4 linked regions of the Nothobranchius furzeri genome follow. The protein of the gene in region 3 interacts with the protein of the main gene of each other region in a pairwise test. Links are inferred from orthologs where the notes say so. Each region holds a gene or a part of one and is shown on either strand. Other genes may lie near its edges.

What was found.
Region 1: the proteins of thap1 (region 3) and phf1 interact in binary tests that used the Homo sapiens proteins (3 or more experiments, as listed by UniProt). The two-hybrid records come from large-scale screens. The link is inferred for Nothobranchius furzeri from reciprocal best matches to the Homo sapiens genes THAP1 and PHF1.
Region 2: the proteins of thap1 (region 3) and zcchc10 interact in binary tests that used the Homo sapiens proteins (3 or more experiments, as listed by UniProt). The two-hybrid records come from large-scale screens. The link is inferred for Nothobranchius furzeri from reciprocal best matches to the Homo sapiens genes THAP1 and ZCCHC10.
Region 4: the proteins of thap1 (region 3) and bag5 interact in binary tests that used the Homo sapiens proteins (3 or more experiments, as listed by UniProt). The two-hybrid records come from large-scale screens. The link is inferred for Nothobranchius furzeri from reciprocal best matches to the Homo sapiens genes THAP1 and BAG5.

Annotation. Positions count from the first base shown.
Region 1 is NC_091745.1:62,274,817-62,278,194, reverse strand, and holds the end of phf1 (PHD finger protein 1), read left to right. Parts: intron 1-1,651; coding exon 1,652-1,997; 3' UTR 1,998-2,132; downstream 2,133-3,378. UniProt on the Homo sapiens protein: Polycomb group (PcG) that specifically binds histone H3 trimethylated at 'Lys-36' (H3K36me3) and recruits the PRC2 complex. Involved in DNA damage response and is recruited at double-strand breaks (DSBs).
Region 2 is NC_091750.1:56,825,860-56,831,225, forward strand, and holds the start of zcchc10 (zinc finger CCHC domain-containing protein 10), read left to right. Parts: upstream 1-2,048; 5' UTR 2,049-2,133; coding exon 2,134-2,174; intron 2,175-2,881; coding exon 2,882-3,043; intron 3,044-3,602; coding exon 3,603-3,644; intron 3,645-5,366.
Region 3 is NC_091746.1:71,096,554-71,101,821, forward strand, and holds the start of thap1 (THAP domain-containing protein 1), read right to left. Parts: upstream 3,515-5,268; 5' UTR 3,400-3,514; coding exon 3,329-3,399; intron 1,587-3,328; exon of another isoform or gene 1,454-1,586; coding exon of another isoform or gene 1,452-1,453; intron 823-1,451; coding exon 630-822; intron 511-629; coding exon 133-510; 3' UTR 1-132. UniProt on the Homo sapiens protein: DNA-binding transcription regulator that regulates endothelial cell proliferation and G1/S cell-cycle progression.
Region 4 is NC_091758.1:10,654,132-10,659,345, reverse strand, and holds the start of bag5 (BAG family molecular chaperone regulator 5), read right to left. Parts: upstream 3,257-5,214; 5' UTR 3,223-3,256; intron 3,025-3,222; 5' UTR 2,935-3,024; coding exon 2,882-2,934; intron 816-2,881; exon of another isoform or gene 680-815; intron 1-679. Other genes in the region: coa8 (cytochrome c oxidase assembly factor 8), read left to right, coding at 3,257-3,454, 3,914-3,977, 4,100-4,190, 4,408-4,528. UniProt on the Homo sapiens protein: Co-chaperone for HSP/HSP70 proteins. It functions as a nucleotide-exchange factor promoting the release of ADP from HSP70, thereby activating HSP70-mediated protein refolding.

The sequences.
Region 1 (3,378 bases), on a different chromosome or scaffold from region 3:
GCCATGCATCTAATTTTTGGAAGAATTTACATGCAAACATTTTCTTTTCTTTTGATGCAATTCAAACGCTGACCACTAGTTGGCAGCAGTGTGCAATGGGTTTTGTTTCCACCATTGGAATGTAAACCCCTCTATTAAGGTTCAGATACCTCACGTTAAACATGTAAAGTATCAGTTTGGGCTGTTTATTGAATTTTCCTATAAATCAGTCTAAAAAAATTGCTAATGTTGTTTGAATGTATCGCAATAAATCGTGATATATTGTATCTTCTCCCCTGTATCGTGATACGTATCGTATCGCCATACTTTCACTATACACATCCCTATCCGATACAATACCAATACTGCAGCCTTCAGTATTGACTGATACCAATCCGATATGAAATCAGCACAAATCATACAGACTTATACTTATTTCGTAGTGTGGAATTTATGAAAGGCTTAATCTAGTGATATTACTCAATCGGAGAACAAGAGCCAATAACAGTAAGTATGAAAAAAAGACAATTTCTTTTAACCATTGGTTGCAAAAATGTAAACCTTAACGGACTGCTTATATCAGAGATTTTTGATGCAGTCCGATATAATTCGATACAGTGTTTTTGGGCCGATATCGAATTCCTTCCGATATTGATATCGGAATGGGACATCTCTTTGTATAACAATGAAGTATGCTGGCTAATGTATGCTGGCTAATATAGTTAGCTCAGCTCTGTCACTTCCTCTTCAGCTGCTCTGAGCCAATTAGTGCACATAGAGGGGTATGGCAGAGCGGGGAGGGAAGGTCAGAAGAGCAGTGTGATGGATGGATCAGGATCCAGTCATTAAAGTTAATTGAGAAACTGTTTTTTACCTGATATTTTTTTAAGTATGATCTTACACTTTGAGTTTAACATGCAGGCTAAATGTGAAAATAGTCTTCTACTATTTCCTGCATTAGCCGCCGATAGAAATTAGAGGGGGAAATGCTTAGGTGAGAAAAAGCCACACAGATCTACATCACACGGTAAAGTTAGCATACATGGACTCACCCATCTGGGCTCACGACGGGAAAGACTGTTGTTGATTTAGTATCCAGCAGAGAACAGAGCACATCTTGGCTAGTAGAAGCTAACTGTTAGCTTTAGCAACTCCACCAAACAGCAGAACTTCTTCAGGCTTGAGGTATTTGTGAAGACAAAACATCAACGTTGCAAAGAAAATGGAGTCAGTGGTAGAGTCGCTGTTAGCCAATCAGAGGCAAGATGTCTGAATATGAGGAAATGAGACTCCAAAACCTGCCGTCTGCCGCTCCCCTCTCCTCTGGCTCACTTCTAGTTTCTGAAACAGAAGCGCCAGTTTCCCCCACAAAGGTCGACTCATTCATTTAAACTAGAGACGACTGCAAATGTGTTGGGAAAAAAAAACGTGTGAAATTGGTCATTAAGAAAGTGACGTTCACTGTTATTGGAGGAGGATTTTCTGGGATGATTTCATTTATTGGTTGCCATCAGTGTGTGGAGAGCATTTCTAACAAATGGCAAAAAGGCTTCAGAAAATGACCTCTTACCCTTTCTTTAAAAAAGTCAAATTTAAATATCTGATAAACAAATTATTTATTTGTGTCTGAAAGAATAGTCACGATGGTGTAAACTGATTTATTTTCTTCCAGCACGGCAGACACCTGCAGACTTACACCAGCGTGCTTCCCTTATTCCTTTGACTCCAGTGGAAACCATCACCACCATCTCTACCAGCACCACCACCACCAGCACCAGCCAGGCCAGAAGCAGCTGGAGCCCCTCGTCCTGCGTGACGTCCCTCCCTATCAGGCCGGTGTGGGCGCGGGGGGAGGTGTTGGAGCAGGAGGCAGAGCAGGGATGGGGATGGGAGGGGGTGATGGGACTGTAGCCAGGAGCTGGGGAGGCGGGGAGGCGGTGAGGATCCTGGCGAGGCGTGTCACACCAGATGGGAAAGTGCAGTACCTGGTAGAGTGGGACAACGTGAGTTTGTACTGAAGCAGGAGGCACAGTGACTGTTGTGTATTTAATACGTGTTCAAAAAAAAAAAAAGAAGCGTCCGTGTTCCAGATCCAGGTCCTCCTCAGTTCCACGCTCTAACCTCACTACTCGTGACTAAATGTGGTGTCCCTCTGATATTTGTACTGTTCCCTTTGGAAGATGCCTTTTACAGTGACACTATTTTAGCCTGCTGATGGTTTGTTTAAAGTCGGAGACGCATCATAGAACAAAACGTTGCTCAACATTAGAGAAGAAAACTCGTCTTTTTCCTTTTGCATCAGAAATGTTGCTTATTTTCCTGCTTTGCCATAAATATCCTAGAAAGAAGAATGTTTCTGTTAGATTCAGCAGGACACTTGGACTGAGTGGAAAATGAGAATAAAACTAAACCCTGTGGAAGTTTTATGATGACATGAGTTTATTCCAGGAAGAACGAATCCAACCTGTTTTTGACACCACGTCTTCAGCTCTTTTGTTCTTGCATTTAACACAAAAGTCAAAACACTTTGTAAATGTTGATATTTACTCCTCTGATATGTAAAGGATGTTCTGGCATCGAGGGTCTGCAGTAGTTTGTTTTTCTGTCTCTGCAAACTCAAACGGGTCATGAGTCTGGTCCAGAACCTGTCCGGGCTTTGTGATGCCAGCAGAGCGTAGTTCTGATGGATGTCTCTGTTCCTGATGCAGGTGTGGCTTTAACCCTCCCACTGTCCTCATGGGTGACCCCGCGAGGAAAGTAGGATTGATGGTTTACCCCTTGAGATCCATGTGGCAGGGGTGAGGTGGTGCTCACTCCTCACCCCTGCCACATGAACCCAAGGGATTAACCATCAACCCTGCTCAATGGTCAACTCTCCTCGCGGGGTCACCCATTAGGACAGTGTGAGGGTTACAGGCCCTGCTGTACTTTTCCTCATTAATGCTCTGTTCCAAGGTGGCACCATCACACATCTGGGCTCATGGACTTGTTTGTTTCTCACAACCATTTCTTCCCTCGTACATCTGGAATACGGATCTGTCCGACCACCTGAGGTTCTGATTCATCCCACATGAAGCCCAGAGAAGCTGGTGCCTGGGATTAGTGCTCTGGGTTTTAGAACAGTTTCCTGATGGTTCTGGATGTGACCACTTCCTTCATGGTCCTTTAAGAGATAAAACATACTAGTTACAAGTCACTGACCTAACTTTTTTATTACAATAATCAGAGGATTCAGAAAACTAAGGAAAAATGCTGTTCTGAATCTAAATGTGTCTAAAAGTTTAGCTGAGGGTTTCCTGATGAACAAAACTCTGCAGTCTGCCAGGAAGTAGTCTGTTCCATTCCTAAACATAGTCCGTGACCCTACCAGACCCTTTCTGAACTGCTCAGCTGTGTGCA
Region 2 (5,366 bases), on a different chromosome or scaffold from region 3:
TCCATCATCAGGACCAAGTCCTAAATGATGAAGTCAATTAAATTGTGTTTAATTCAGTTTATTTATATGGCATCAAATTACAAGAAGAGTCGTCTCAAGGCACTTCACAAAGTAAACATTCTAAAGCGGTTCAGTTCATTAAGCCAATCAGTAAAAAGTTTCCTATATAAGGAACCTAGCAAATTGCATGGAGTCACTGACTGGTGTCAGTGACTTTACAGCAATCCTCATACTAAGCAAGTAGCGACAGTGGAAAACTCCCTTTTAACAAGAAAAACTTCCAGAGGATCCTGGCTCAGTAGGAATTGCCATCCGCCACGACTCACTGAGGATCGAGGAAACAGAGCAGACACCCCCCACACATACCAGGAAAAGTGCTCTTTATTTATTTATTTAGGACAGTGCATGTTAATGAACATAAATGTAAATGCAGCTTACATGAATGTAAACATGCCAGATTATAGCCAAAGGCTAATTTCCATCTGTTGTCCTTAGACATAAAAAGACATAATGATTCATGAAAATTCATCATTCATTCATAATCAAAACTCCATCACCAAACCTACGCCATTCTATTCACAAATAAAACATCAAAACTATACAACTCGTACATGATCACACACTTGATTTGTCCATAACCAGTTTTTAACATTTGCCTTTAAACAAATTGAAAGTCGAGCATTCTCTAACGGGTTGAGTGCCTGTTAAATAGTGACAGGCACCAAAGTAAAATGGTAAATGGCCTGTATTTGACATAGCACCTTCTAGAGTCCTGGAACCTCCCAAGGAGCTTGTTGTGGCCACCAGCCTGGCCTCTTCAGGTGCAGGAGCCAGGATCACCCAGCCTCGGTGATCAGCCAGGCACCGCCCCTCTTCCTCCTTTCTTCCAGGCTGCTGAGGAGCACAGCTGAGCTAAATCATCTGGTGACCTACACCTGGGATAAAAAGGCCGTGCCTTCAGCAGTCTGGGAGGCAGCAGTGCAGGGGCTAAGCTGTTATTCATGCCTCATTTTGGTTTCAACCCCTTCATTTTGATGAGTCTTAATTTTAATAGTTTTAACTCTGAGTGATCCAAAGGGATCTTTGTTTGATGTCAACTTGGTTGACTTGGTTTTAAGGTTAACGTTGTAGTTTACTGACTTTGGGATTTTAAAACACTCAGTGTTTTTCTAGTGTGTCAGATTTTACTATCAACTTGAAGATTTTGGAAACACTTTCTGTTCAGTAAAACTTTTAATATAAGTTTTAACCAGGTGTTTTTAATGTTGGTAATTGGTCTTTTAGTGTTAACCTTTTTGAGAGTTTTTTTTTTGTTTGGCATTTTTTAAACAATGCTCACCATCTGTTTGCACTTGTTTTTAGAACCTTTTATAACAATTAAACCCATTTTAAACCCACTATCATGTTTCTTGTGTTCCCCTTCCTTCACATTTTAACACCTCCTGTCGGGGACGTAACAGTGCTTTACAACACAGTCATGCTCACCCTGGTCTGGTCGATGAGCTACATTCTAGCCACAGCTGCCCTGGGGTACACTGACAGAGGCGAGGCTGTCGAGCGCTGGCGCTACTGGTCCATCCGACCACCATCAGCAAGCAAGGGGGGTTAAGTATCTTGCCCATGGACACAACAACAGCGACAGACTGAGTGGGGCTTGAACCTGCAACCTTCCGATTATGGGACGAGCACTTAACTCCTGTGCCAGTGTCACCCCATACAAAGAGTAAATACGTAGACACCTCATGGGATGGCGCTGCCTATTGGAGCTGCCGAAGTGGCCGGCTGCCATCTTAGTCTCCATTCGGCACACTACCAGAGGCGAGTCTGCCTCTGTCAGTGTGTCTGTCAGTGTAATTAAACAAAATAAATAAACAAATACAAATCTAAAATCCTATCAGGTAGGCTAGAAAAGTCACTATAGTAATCCCACATGATCTATTTACAATTGTACGCGGGTTGTTGTAACCGTGGGATGCACAAAAACGGGCATAGTTGCGTACTCTGCATTGCCTTCGGAGAATGAAGAGACCCATCCAAAATGGCGACGACACGGGTGGTTACGTATTCTTTTCACTCCTTTACATTTCCGGAAATAGGCCCTGAGCTGACACCAACGAAGAAGAGACTTCAAACATGGCGACTCCCATGCATAGAATAATAGCGAGAAGACAAGCGTGAGTAAAACATTTTTAAACTTAGCGTAGCAATATTATTTTAGTATATTTTGTGTCTACATTTGTTACGTTACCACGTGCGGTCTATAGCTGACCTACAGTTTTACATTCAGCCTGTAAAGAACGAACTTGGAGGGACGGGCATCCCGCGGCTCTACGAAGCGCTACGTTGTGTGAAACTGTACTCTTCTGAAGCTGTTATTTATTTTTATAATACCCCAGTTTAAGTAAAAAATAATTTTGTTTACATCGATGTTAATGTCAATATAGTTATAACCAATAGTCGGATCAAAGTATTGAGAAGAATCGGGACTTGGGCAGAGTTTTGATAATTTGTGATTATTGGTGGGGTTTCAGTTTCTTTGGTGGAACACCTGCGAGTTTCTGAGTTTAAAATGAAGTATTCATTACTAGTGTATTAATTATGAGATGGCTACATAAAGCTTCGTGTAGCTTCTCAACTATTTTCTTTGCCCAGAGGTTCACGTCTTCGATGCATCATTCATTGCTTATAGTGACACCTGCTGGTGGAGTTAAACTACGGCAGCCATCATTTTTTTCATAATTTATACTGGAATCATTTGTTCCATTCATTATTAATTTTAAGTAATCTGACAACAAATACATGTATGTGCAAATGTCTTACTTCTGTAGTTTATGTATTTTTTCCTGTTTGGAAGGTATTTATTTATTTTTATTGCTTACAGGGAGGCAAACAAACAAAATGTGCGTTGTCAGAAGTGCTTGGAGATGGGACACTGGACTTACGAGTGCACTGGGAAACGGAAATATTTGCACCGACCGTCAAGAACAACCGAAATGAAAAAGAAGCTGAAGGAGATAGAAAACAAACCTCTCAGCATCACAGGGTGAGTCATCTCTGACAGTTTGAAGGACAAGTCATTTACACCTGGACTTCATGTAGGGTTGGGCAATAAATCGAAAATGTATCGTTATTGAAATTTCTGACTCTTATCGATAAATGTTCCCATGTCATTAAATTTGATAATAAAAAAATGAAAAGATGTGTGTAGGTTGGCAAAATCCATGTCCCTTTAAGAAGCTGTGCAACCTTGAGTGACTTAAAAATTTGATTCAACGTAATACATGTGACAGCCCCATTTATGGACAACTTTTGTTTCTGCGCATACCAAGGTGAAATCCTCAATATATCGTGATATTGATTTTAGGCTAGATCGCCCAGCCTAACTGTGCATAAATAAACCCACAAAAAATGATAATTATAACTGAGAACTCAGTTTTTACAGTGAAATTAGATTTATAAATAATTCTTAAATTTTGACAGTGTTTCAAATGATCTCAAATAGAAGTTGAATTTGTTTAACTAAAATACATAAAAATACAAACAAATGATTTTATCAATAGTGACTGAACTATATATAATGTTGTGATTTTTCCACATCACAGACCTGGAGGAGAAGCTTCCAGTGAAAAGAAAACAAAAAAGAAGTAAGTAATCTGATAATTTACTAGGGATGTGTATTGGTGAAACTCTGATAATACGATACGTATCAAGATACAGGGGAGACAAATTCGATATATCACAATATATTGTGATACATTCAGCCAGATGATATTAGCATTTTTTTTTGACAGAATTTATTGTAGGGAAACTCAGTCCAGTCCAAACTGAAATGTAACATGTTCAATATAAGGTATCTTATAAAGAAGAAGAAAATATCATTTCTATAGCGCCTCTCAAGATAAAAATCACGAGGCGCTTCACAAAAACAAAAAATGTAAAAATATAAAAAATAATTTAGAAAATGGTTAAAAATATATTTAAAATGAGCAAAAAATAGACAATTGTGATTAAAAAAAATGTTAAGAAAGAGAGAGAGAGTGAATAGGAAAGAGGGAAATCAGTGCATCCTGAGGAAGGTGGAATAGAGAAAGGGATTTATATTTCAATGGTGGAAACAAAACCCATTGCACACTGCTGCTACCTAGTGGTCGGCGTTTGAATTGCACCAAAAGAAAAGAAAATACACAAATGTTTGCATGTAAATTCCATGTGGCTTTTAAAGATCGATACAATATTGCAGGAAAAAATATCACAATATATTGTCATATCGATATTTTCTTACATCCCTATAATTTACTATATTGAAATATTTTAAAGAAGTTTCATAGCTGTGGTGTGGTCATTTCTAGTCATTCATTTTTGGATGTAAAAGATTTTTTTATTCATAAAGATGATATTTTAATTCTTATGTTCATATTTCTCAACTTGTACCACTTTAAACAGAATTGTGACTTAACAGTTCCATCTAGTGGCAGTTGATGAGAAGTGAAACCATTTTCTTGGTTATTGTCTGTTTTTAGACAAGACTCTTAGTGAATTTACATTTGATTCTTGTTTCTTTTGTACTGTGATAGTAGAACAGCTTCACATTTTCCATCAGTTAAATTGTTGTTACAGATTAATTGGAAAGTCAATTAAAAAAGTAATTATAAAAAGATTTAAATGTATCTTAGCCTGTTTAACCCTAACGCCCCCCAATTGGGTGCCTCTACAGTTTCATGTCCCAAACATCTACAACTGTCCACGTTCTCCAAACACAACTAAAACCACAATCAAACAGCCCAGATGGGAAACAAGGCCATTTTAAATGGTAATAAATTAAGATACAACGATCTTTGAACTTTATTTTAGAAGAGCATCTGACCTTCTCTGGTGTCTGCTGGGAAAAAACCCTTGAACACATTTAGTTGAGGACCCTGGAATAAATAAAACAATTGACAACATTTCCTAAATGGAATTTGAACTCACAACCTCCATCCTGTCAGCACTTTCACACAGGGCAGCTCTTCTAACATACAGTTCAAGTATTATTTTATCTTAATGTATCAAAATCCAAAAATTACTTTGTTTACAATCTAAACAGTTTTGATAGTAGCTGTAGTTGTGCTCGGGGACTTGGGACATGGAACTCCAAAGGCCCCCAACTGGGAGGTGCCAGGGCCCAAAGAAAAAAGGCCTTGGGCCTAAAGGGTTAAAAACTGTTCAGTAAAAAGTACTTAAATTCAATTTTAATGTGTTTGCAATAAATGCTTTTTTTTTGTTGTTGCATCAACTGGTGTTTACATGTGTTTCAAATAAGCTATTATTGGCTAAAGAAGACACATAAATAAGGGTATTACTGCTAAATCTCCAATACATTTGTTTGA
Region 3 (5,268 bases):
GGAGGAGCTGGATGAAGCTAGGAGGACCACAGATGAGATCCTCCAGCAGGAAGTCCCAAACTAACGGGATTCCAGAATCCGACCCGTTTACAAACCAGATGGATATCCAGGTCCGGTGAGCTAATCTCAGAGTTACTCCGAGTGGTTAGCGTGTTTAGGTAAAGCCACGTATCCGAGCGTCAGCGCCGGCTCTCGGCTCGCTCTGGGCGCCTGGCAGGCCGCCCGCAGCCGCTTCAGCTGTCGCTCTTGACGACGACACTTCTGCTGCGTGGTCTTCAGCTTCTTCCTCAGCAGCTCCACCTGCTCCTCCAGCTGCTCAATGCGCTTCTTCTGCTGCGCCGAGTCCTCCGCCGTGTAGTTGTGATCGCAGGAGACCACCGCTGTGTCGCTTTGGGCATCGGCGGCGCTCCTGTCAGGCTCCTCCTCTTCCTCCAGGGTCGGGTCAGAGGTCAGAGGCAGAGAGAGAGGTAAGTGGATCTCTGGGGGAAACGGGTCTTCCAAAGATTCGGCCTGCAGGACAGAAACCAGACAGATTTGGGATTTTAAACCACACTTCAGAGTCTCAGGGTTAAAGCCTTCAGGGCCCAAAACATTCACATCCAGAACCAGAACCACACTGGGACTCTGACCTTCATGCTGAGGGTAAAGGTGAACAGCGACGGGACGGCGTTCTCCTTGAGAACCCGGTTGTTGCACTCCCTCTTGAAGCAGTCTTTGGTGAAATGCTGGGAGCAGATGTTGCTGTACTTGGTGGGTTTGAAGTTGTTCCTCCTCATGGCAGCGACCCATTTCCCACAAACATCTGGACGGGCCAAAGGAAACCTGGGAAAACACGTCAAATGGTACAACAGCTGGGGAAGTGAAGTCCTCACAGGAACGTCATTCAGATGAAGACAGGCAGTGTTGGGAACGTTACTTTAAAAAGCAATTAGTTATAGTTACTGATTACTTTGTCAAAAAAAGTAACTCAGTTACAAGATTATAAAAGTAACTAATTACCAAGAAAAATAACTACTTAGTTACTTTTTTCATTAAAGAATGCAAGAATTACTATAATAGTGAAATATAAATGACTAATGACTGGAACATAATAAAACCTGAATAATTTAAATAAATAAGCACTTAACAGGAGGAACTACTAATAGGAACATTACACTTATCTAGACTATTAAAAGGTCTCTGTGTGATATTTAACAAAAACCCAATCAGCTAACATTTAAAATTGCAAATAGAAACACCTGTAAAGGTTCCCGAGCCTTTAAATGGTCTCTCAGTCTAGTTAAATTACAGAAATAAATGTAATTTTCTACGGTATTTTAATTTTTCCAGCTTCACATAATTGTGTGTTTTTAGTAGCATTTCTGTTGCAGGTAATCTAGTAACGGTTAAATAAATAAATAAAATCCTTTAAAATGACACTAGAAGAGGCACAAGCCTGATGGAGGACTTACATTTACTAACTTGGGTCAGACCCAACCACAGAAGAGCTGAAGCTGGGTGGTAAACACACACAGGTAGTTCTGATAACACCTGAGCTCCATGACGTCTGAGACTGATGCATCAGTGTTACAGCGGGACTAAAGACATGATCAGAAACAGGTTACAGCTGGATGATCTAGGAAGGTAGAAGATCAGGACGTCTGAGAGGTGAACAGGTGAGCGGACCTTCGGGACGTCCCGCTGTCACGCTAAGAGCACGGCTGCAGACCCACAGATTCGCTACTGCAGCAGCGAATCATTCATCACGTCTTCCTCGTTCTTCACGGTCCGTGATGCTCTTGGATGAAAACATCTACCTCTTTAGCTCCTGATCAGCTGATGACAGCTTCAACACACCGCGCTGCTTAACGCACGCATTTCCTTATCAGTAACAGAAATGACGTTTTGATAAAAGAAGACGGTAATTAATTAGTTTGCTCGTTACAGGAACACTTTTTTTTTATTAACGCGGTTATTTTAAACGGCGTTATTCCCATCACTGCTCTGTTGTGTCTACAGAATGCAGCGACTGAGACCGTGAGGGTCTCCGCCCACCCGGCCAATCACCATCGTGTTTGTAAGTGCGTTACCGACACCTCTCTCTCCCTGGCTGCAGCTGAAGTGTGGCGGTCAGAAAGCCTCACGCTGCTGCTCAACGTTCGACAAGCACGTGGTAACGGTAACGGCGTTGCAGCAGTGGGAAAAGTAATCAATTAAATTATTCCGTTACCTAAAAAAGAACGCCGTTAGCAACGCCGTTATATTTAAACGTCGTTACTCCCAACACTGAAGACAGGTGAAACAGAACTACCTCATCACTTCTACTTCTAAACACAACTGGGCTCAGTAAAACCGACGGCTGCAGGTAGAAACACGAGAAGATCCGAAACGTCTTCAAGAACCGTCAGGAACCCAAACCATCAGAGGCTGAGAAAAGAAACCAGGTCCAGTGGACTAAAAAGGACCCATCCTGTGAGTCCAGTCTGCTCTAGATCAGGAGAGGATGACGGAGCTTTGGTCTGGTTCTGGTTCTGAGGACAAATCCAGACCGTCTCTACAGCCAGAGATGATTAGCATGGAGGTCATGACCTCCACCGGAAGGAGGACATGTTCTCACTCCATCAGAGCAAAGCACGGTGGTGGTGATGAAAATGAACAAACGTCAACTCAGACAAAGTGACTGATGAGTTCTGGAGGAACCAGAACCCGAGCCAGAACCAGCCTCTGTAGCTGATCTGTGAGAAAGCAGAATGATGAAGATTTTAGTGAAAAAATCCAAAATGATTCCAGCGATAAAATAAACGACTTTTAATAAAAACCTGAGTTTCTCCACGTGACCCGATGACGCCGCATTAATTACAGCAACTTTACTGAAGTACTGAATGTTTATCTAAACACCAGGAAGTGTGAAACACACCTGCGCCGACGCTCCTCCACACCTGGCCTGAGTTCTCTCCACACCTGGTTTTATGCTCCTCCTCACTTGGCTGCTGCTGCTCCACACCTGCTCTGATGCCCCTCCACATCTAGCCTGAGGCCTCGCCACACCTGGTTTTATGCTCCACCAGTCTGGACAACTGGAGGTGTTTCTGTGTTTGTAGAATAAACTGGTCCTAACCACTAGCTGCTCTGGTTTTGCTCCAACATGTCAGACTAATGGGACTACAACACCTGGACACCTGTTGAACAGGTGGTTCCTCTGTGAGGCCGCTGCTCGGACTTCTGCTTCATTCAGCACGAAAACATGAATGAATAGACTGCTGTGACTGAACGAGGCTGTTTCTGAGACCGGACCGAAGCTCGGGCGGGCTAACGAGAGTCGGCGCAGAAACACCGGAGCCGAACTTACTTGTGGAAGGAGACATCTTTGTCTTTGTGGTACCGGTTCTTACAGCCATAGGCTGAGCACGTCTGGACCATTGTTTCATCCCAGAAAACGAACCGAACCTCCGCCAAACCTCGTTGCCGTCAGTCCGATCAGGCTTCACTGCCAATAACAAACATGGCGGCGGAGACAGGGTCACCTGACCCGCGTTCTGCCCCCTGATTGGCCTCTCTTCCTGGTAACTGTCATTTTAGTGTGTGAAGCGAAACTTGTTAGAATTTTTTTTATTATAAATCGTTGCAGATAAAAAAAATAAAAATAAAATAAGTAAAGGATAAAATAAAATAGTCACAGAAGAGCAGTTGGACAAAAAACATCTTTTCTTTGAATGCTTTTAATAACTATCACTTGATTTCATACAAATATCCTTTTGTTGTCTTTTTACCGTGTCCTGTCCGGCTGTGAAGCAACCAGAACTGATGTCTGACTGCTGAAGACGAGCCTTGCAGCTTTATTCTCTCAGGTGGAGCTCACAGCTTCTGCCGTAGCCACTGCTGACACCAAAACTTTATTAGCAACACTTTCGGACACAGAGACAGCTGTGAGAGAAAGGGGGAGAGTGAAGGAAGAGGTGAGGGAGGATGAATTATATAAATAATAAATGATGAAGAAGAATCAGCTTCTGGAGAGAGAGAGAGAGAGAGAGAGAGAGAGAGAGAGAGAGAGAGAGAGAGAGAGAGAGAGAGAGAGCGTGAAAAGGAGACACACAAAAATACAACAAGACAAAACATCGCTGCTCCAACAGCATGAGGATATATAACAGTAACTGCTTATGCTGGGAAGCATACCATAATAATTCATAGTGCATTTAGATATGCAGGCAGACCGAGGCACCGCCCACCGGTAGAACAAGTGGCAGGAGGGTACGCGAAGATGTCGTAACACCTCAAGATGTCTCAGCAGAGGAGAGGAGTCCAAGACCCCACCTGACGTACATGCATCCCTCATGCTTACACACACACACACACACACACACACACACACACACACCCTATTCACTCTGGTCCTGGTACTAGTGATGGGAATGGCTCAGCTCACCAAAAAGAGCCGGCTCTTTCGGCTCCCAAGTGGCTCCTCAGATTTTCTTTTGCGCAGAATACATTTATAACCAAAATAATGCAAAACTATTTGTAAAATGATTTACTAATGTAAAAAAATGCTGTGTATCAAATATTTATCATTTCTATGGATTTAATAACTGAACACTTTAAGAAATCTCCACTTTCCGACTGCTGGCGCTAATTTTCTCACCGTCTTCGTCGCACTCTCCTCTCTCTGCCTTTTTCCTCCTCCTCATTCCCGCTCGCCTCCCTCCGCCCGCATGTGCTCTGCTGTGTGTCTGAGTCTGATCCTCCCTCTTCTCCGCCCCTACTGCTCTGTGTGTGGACAGTCTGGACACGCAGTTACACATGTTGACCAATCACCTGCAGCTTTCACCAAGGCAGGGGGGGAGGGGGAGGGCTCCCATCGTTCACTTCAAAGAGTCGGCTCTTAGAGCCGGTTCGTTCGCGACCGACACATCACTACCAGGTACTACTGCGCAGAGGACACAACCATCCCTGGACACCAGAGCTAGCCCCGTTCTAATTAAATAATCTAATCTCTGCTCCAAACACAAGACAATAAATCTGCTTCAAATGCATTTATTTATTTTTACCCAAATTCTGCTTTTTTCTTTATTGCCTACTCGTATACTCCATTCTGAATTGTGTTTTCCTCTATTATTACTATTGTAGTGTTCACCTAAATCACGCCGGATTACGAAAGTTTCAAATCTAATAAAACTTAGAGTAAATCTGAACAATGAAATAAGTTTTTAAGTAAAAAAAATATTCAATAACTTATTAAACGTGCTTCAAATCTGTCTGTAGCTCATTATTTATGCATATGGATGTTTAAAGTTG
Region 4 (5,214 bases), on a different chromosome or scaffold from region 3:
CTGACCCATCATTAACCTTTGTCGGCTGTGCTGAAGAGAAAGGTACAGAAACAAAATATTTAATTAATTAGCTGCACTCTGTCCTCCGGGCCACACAAACGCACGCACACACACACACACGGTATTTTCGTTAAGGAGCGTGCACGTACAGCATGCGCGCCTCGTGCACAAGCCTACTATTGAAGCTGCCGTTACGCTTTTGGCCTGAGGGGGCAATCACGAGCATAAAAATTCAAAACTCTGTAAAGTCCCTTTAAGAGAACTCAGCAGGAACACATGTCTGAAAACCTCAATGAACCGGAACAGCGGAATGGACCAGAACTCCCCCAGAACCTCAACACAACGTGTTCCACACTACAGGCACATTTTATTTAGGAGACAGACTTTTTGCTTTTACTTAAACTCTAGATGGTGTCTCTGGTCTCAGACACCTGATGAGATGTACCAGGTGAGCCCAATTAAGGAGAAACTACTGAAAAGGATTTTCCATTTTCAACCAGCTTGGCAAGAAAAACTATCTCTGCCTCTGAAAAGCATGAAACAGTTGAATGCCTTGGGTAAGGTATGAAAACCTTCGATATTTCACAAAAACCAAAGTGTGGGCAGAAAAAGGAGAGAATAACCTTAACTCTAACCCATGACCACAACCCTATAGGAAGCTTTTGCAACATCCTCTAACCTTTGTGGACTGCAGAGGCAGATCTCATCCAAGTAGGAGGTCTGGGAGGTGATTCTGACTTCCTGCAAAGAAACTTAAGCAGAAACTCTCCAAAAACTCAATGGATGCAAGAATCGTAATGCAACTATCAAACGAGAGGCCCTGTGTTAAAATGTAACCACACCTATTAGGATGGTTTTAACTGAAATAGCTTTTGATCTCAGTGAATATGGCCCCGATCCGACAATCAGCCATCTTTAGTTCCAGGGATTGTAATTCTGAATCATTAGATTTGACTGACGGGCTCTGACGCTCATGGTACCTGTCAGTCAAATCTAATGATTCAGAATTTCGATTAGGGATGTAAGAAAATATCGATATGGCAATATATCGTGGTATTTTTTCCTGCAATGGTTGTATCGATATTCAAAAGCCGTGTATCTAAATTTTGAGAGAATTTATTTACATGCAAACATTTGTCAAAAAATTTGCATATTGTGATAAAGTTCATTATTGTCAGTAATGTACTGATAAACATTAGACTTTCATATATATTAGATTCATTACACACAACTGAAGTAGTTCAAGCCTTTTATTGTCTATAATATTGATGATCTTGGCATACAGCTCATGAAAACCCAAAATTCCTATCTCAAAAAATTAGCATATCATGAAAAGGTTCTCTAAACGAGCTATTAACCTAATCATCTGAATCAACTAATTAACTCTAAACACCTGCAAAAGATTCCTGAGGCTTTTAAAAACTCCCAGCCTGCTTCATTACTCAAAACCACAATCATGGGTAAGACTGCCGACCTGACTCCTGTCCAGAAGGCCATCATTGACACCCTCAAGCAAGAGGGTATGACACAGAAAGAAATTTCAGAACGAAGAGGCTGTTCCCAGAGTACTGTATCAAGGCACCTCAGTGGGAAGTCTGTGGGAAGGAAAAAGTGTGACAGAAAACGCTGCACAACGAGAAGAGGTGACCGGACCCTGAGGATGATTGTGGAGAAGGACCGATTCCAGACCTTGGGGGACCTGCGGAAGCAGTGGACTGAGTCTGGAGTAGAAACGTCCGTAGCCACCGTGTACAGGCGTGTGCAGGAAATGGGCTACAGGTGCCGCATTCCCCAGGTCAAGCCACTTCTGAACCAGAAACAGCGGCAGAAGCGCCTGACCTGGGCTACAGAGAAGCAGCACTGGACTGTTGCTCAGTGGTCCAAAGTACTTTTGTCGAATGAAAGCAAATTTTGCGTGTCATTCAGAACTCAAGGTGCCAGAGTCTGGAGGAAAACTGGGCAGAGGGAAATGCCAAAATGTCTGAAGTCCAGTGTCAAGTACCCACAGTCAGTGATGGTCTGGGGTGCCATGTCAGCTGCTGGTGTTGGTCCACTGTGTTTTATCAAGGGCAGGGTCAATGCAAATAGCTATCAGGAGATTTTGGAGCACTTCATGCTTCCATCTGCTGAAAAGCTTTATGGAGATGAAGATTTCATTTTTCAGCACGACCTGGCACCTGCTCACAGTGCCAAAACCACTGGTAAATGGTTTACTGACCATGGTGTTACTGTGCTCAATTGGCCTGCCAACTCTCCTGACCTGAACCCCGTAGAGAACCTGTGGGATATTGTGAAGAGAAAGTTGAGAGACGCAAGACCCAACACTCTGGATGAGCTTAAGACCGCTATCGAAGCATCTTGGGCCTCCATAACACCTCAGCAGTGCCACAGGCTGATTGCCTCCATGCCACGCCGCATTGGGATTCCCGACCAAGTATTAAGTGCATAACTGAACATAATTATTTCAAGGTTGACTTTTTTGTATTAAAAACACTTTTCTTTTATTGGTCGGATGAAATATGCAAATTTTTTGAGATATGAATTTTGGGTTTTCATGAGCTGTACGCCAAAATCATCAATATTAGAAACAATAAAAGGCTTGAACTACTTCCGTTGTGTGTGATGAATCTAAAATATATGGAAGTCTAATGTTTATCAGTACATTACTGACAATAATGAACTTCATCACAATATGCTAATTTTTTGAGAACGACCTGTATGCTAACATCAGTACATTCAGTACCATACCCAGATGCACATTTCTGTTTTTGTGTCCTTTTTACTATTCTATTTTTTCCTAAGTAATGTCCCAGAGCATCATAGTATTCACAGTATTTAAAATGTCTAGAATATTTCTGACAATTATCTGTTTTTTCCGTACCGTTGCGTTGGTCTCTGGGTCTGGGATCGTGTTTTTCTCCTTGCTGCTTTCATCGTGATGCCTGTTTGGTTCTGATAAGCTCGCTGTCGTGTGGCGTTGACTCAGTTCAGCTCTGTGACGTTCATCTGTGGACAGGACCAGCTCTTCAACAGTTAAAGCACAGATAAATGTGTTTAAGCCTTTACTTGTCTCAGGATTAGTAGACAGTTTCCACACCACCCTACTTTTTCATGGTAGGAGACAGAAACAGACACCCTAAATAGCCTCCTAGTGGCTAGCTGCAGCAGCTTGGCTGGAACACGTCTAATTACCGTGTTGGTCCCAGACTGACATTAATTTACCTTCACAGTTTTGTATTTTGTTTTTGAAATGCAGCGGTCCACCTTCAGGCCCAAGCCCAGCTCCACACATGACTGGATCGGTCCACCGAACCCTCTGTCCAATCTGCGTCCCATCGTGTACCACATCCCCGAGAAGGAATCCGATCTGGAGAAGCGGCTGAGGATGCTGAGGCAGGAGACGGAAGACTGGAACCATGAGTTTTGGACCAAGCAGAACATCAGCTTTAGCAAGGTTAAAATGCTGCTTACAATTCTTTGTTGTCACCAGCAGGTGGCAGCAAAGCTCAATGGAGAAAATCCTTTGGAAAGTTTTCTTTGGAGTGAAATGAGTCGATGGTATCAGGTATGGTACAGTGTCCTTAGGAGGCTACGGTCACCTGCCGTACGAGGTCACGTGTTCATATTAGGGAAGTGTAACATGACTTGTGCTTCCAGCTTGCAGGATTTTTACAGGTGCTTGAAATTATAGCAGACGTCGAACAGTCTTATTTCCTTGATGAGACAAAGAACTGTTTTGAGCATGTATGTAAATCAAATCTGGCTGCACAATCCTAAATCTAAGCCCGAACGTGCTTGAATTTGATTAGGCAAAGATGTAATATCAGTGCGACCGCGTTATAAACTTGCCTTTGGATTCATTTGAATAGACAGACTTTTCCAAAAACACAACTGATTGATATAGTCTCTGCAGGAAAAAGAAGCTTTCATCATTTCGCATCTGAAGGCCAAAGGTTTGACTCTGCGTGACGAAGACGGTGAGGCTTCTCATACATATGTTCTGGTGTTTTTTACACAACAACGAAATGAAACTGAAAATGGAGTCAGGACTGTGAAAATGCTGAATGAAATCCACTTTGTGTCGGTTTGCTCCGCTCAGGAAGACGGCGGTCCCTGAACAGCGAAGAGATGGCTCTGTTTTACAAAAGCTTTTTGGACCAAAACAAGCTCCGACATGCAAATTATAACAGGTGAGTTGTTTTTGCGTCGGGTGTCGTTCCCCCCCCCCCCCACGCACACCTCTGTGGAGCTTTTCTCATAACGAGCTGCTGCGTGAGCCGGACACTTTGGACGTTTATTGTCAGTGTTGTTTGTGTTCAGGCTTTATTAGTTAAAGCCCAGGAAAAACCTCCACAGCATCATCAAGCTTCATCGTATTTATTATTTGCTGTCTCCTCCCCAATCCAGGGAGTGGTACCGACGTAACTTCAGCATCACGGTGCTCATGGCCCGAGTCGCTGTCACCAGCATGTGGAGGACTTTTACCGAGAGGCACCACAGGAAGAACAAAAGCTCTCCGAACACCTGACCGCATCATCCTGTTCAGTTTCATTAATTTTAGCTGCTGTCTAGACCTGCAACTACAAAGTTTGAGGTATTTATGAGTGACTATTTAAGAAATGTACAGAGAAGTTTCAGGGACATCACGTAAGGTTCTGAATGCTTTTGTCATTTAAAACACAGAAGCGTGCAGGGCTCCTGCTGCTTAGAGTGCTTGAGCAGATGTGAGCACAATAACATTTATAAATTCATGAAGGTCTCATTTGTTTATGTGCACTATAACAGGAATGCATGAGTTAGACAGCTGCTTTCTCATAAATAAAAATGTTTTATTTGTTTAATTTTAAGGGTGTTTTTTGGTGCAAAAACCAAAATAAATAGTTTGACTCAGACTTTGACCCGCTTCAGATTCATAATGATGCTTTAATCCCCGACAACCAGACCAGTCGCCTTGGCCCCACAACTGATGAGGACTAATGGTAAATGGTAAATGACCTGTATTTGATATAGCACTTTCTAGAGTCCTGGAACCCCCCAAGGTGCTTTACAACACAATCAGTCATTCACCCATTCACACACACATTCACACACTGATGGTGATGAGCTACGATGTAGCCACAGCTGCCCTGGGGCGCACTGACAGAATCGAGGCTGCTGAGCACAGGCGCCACTGGTCCCTCCGACCACCACCAGCAGGCAAGGTGGGTTAAGTGT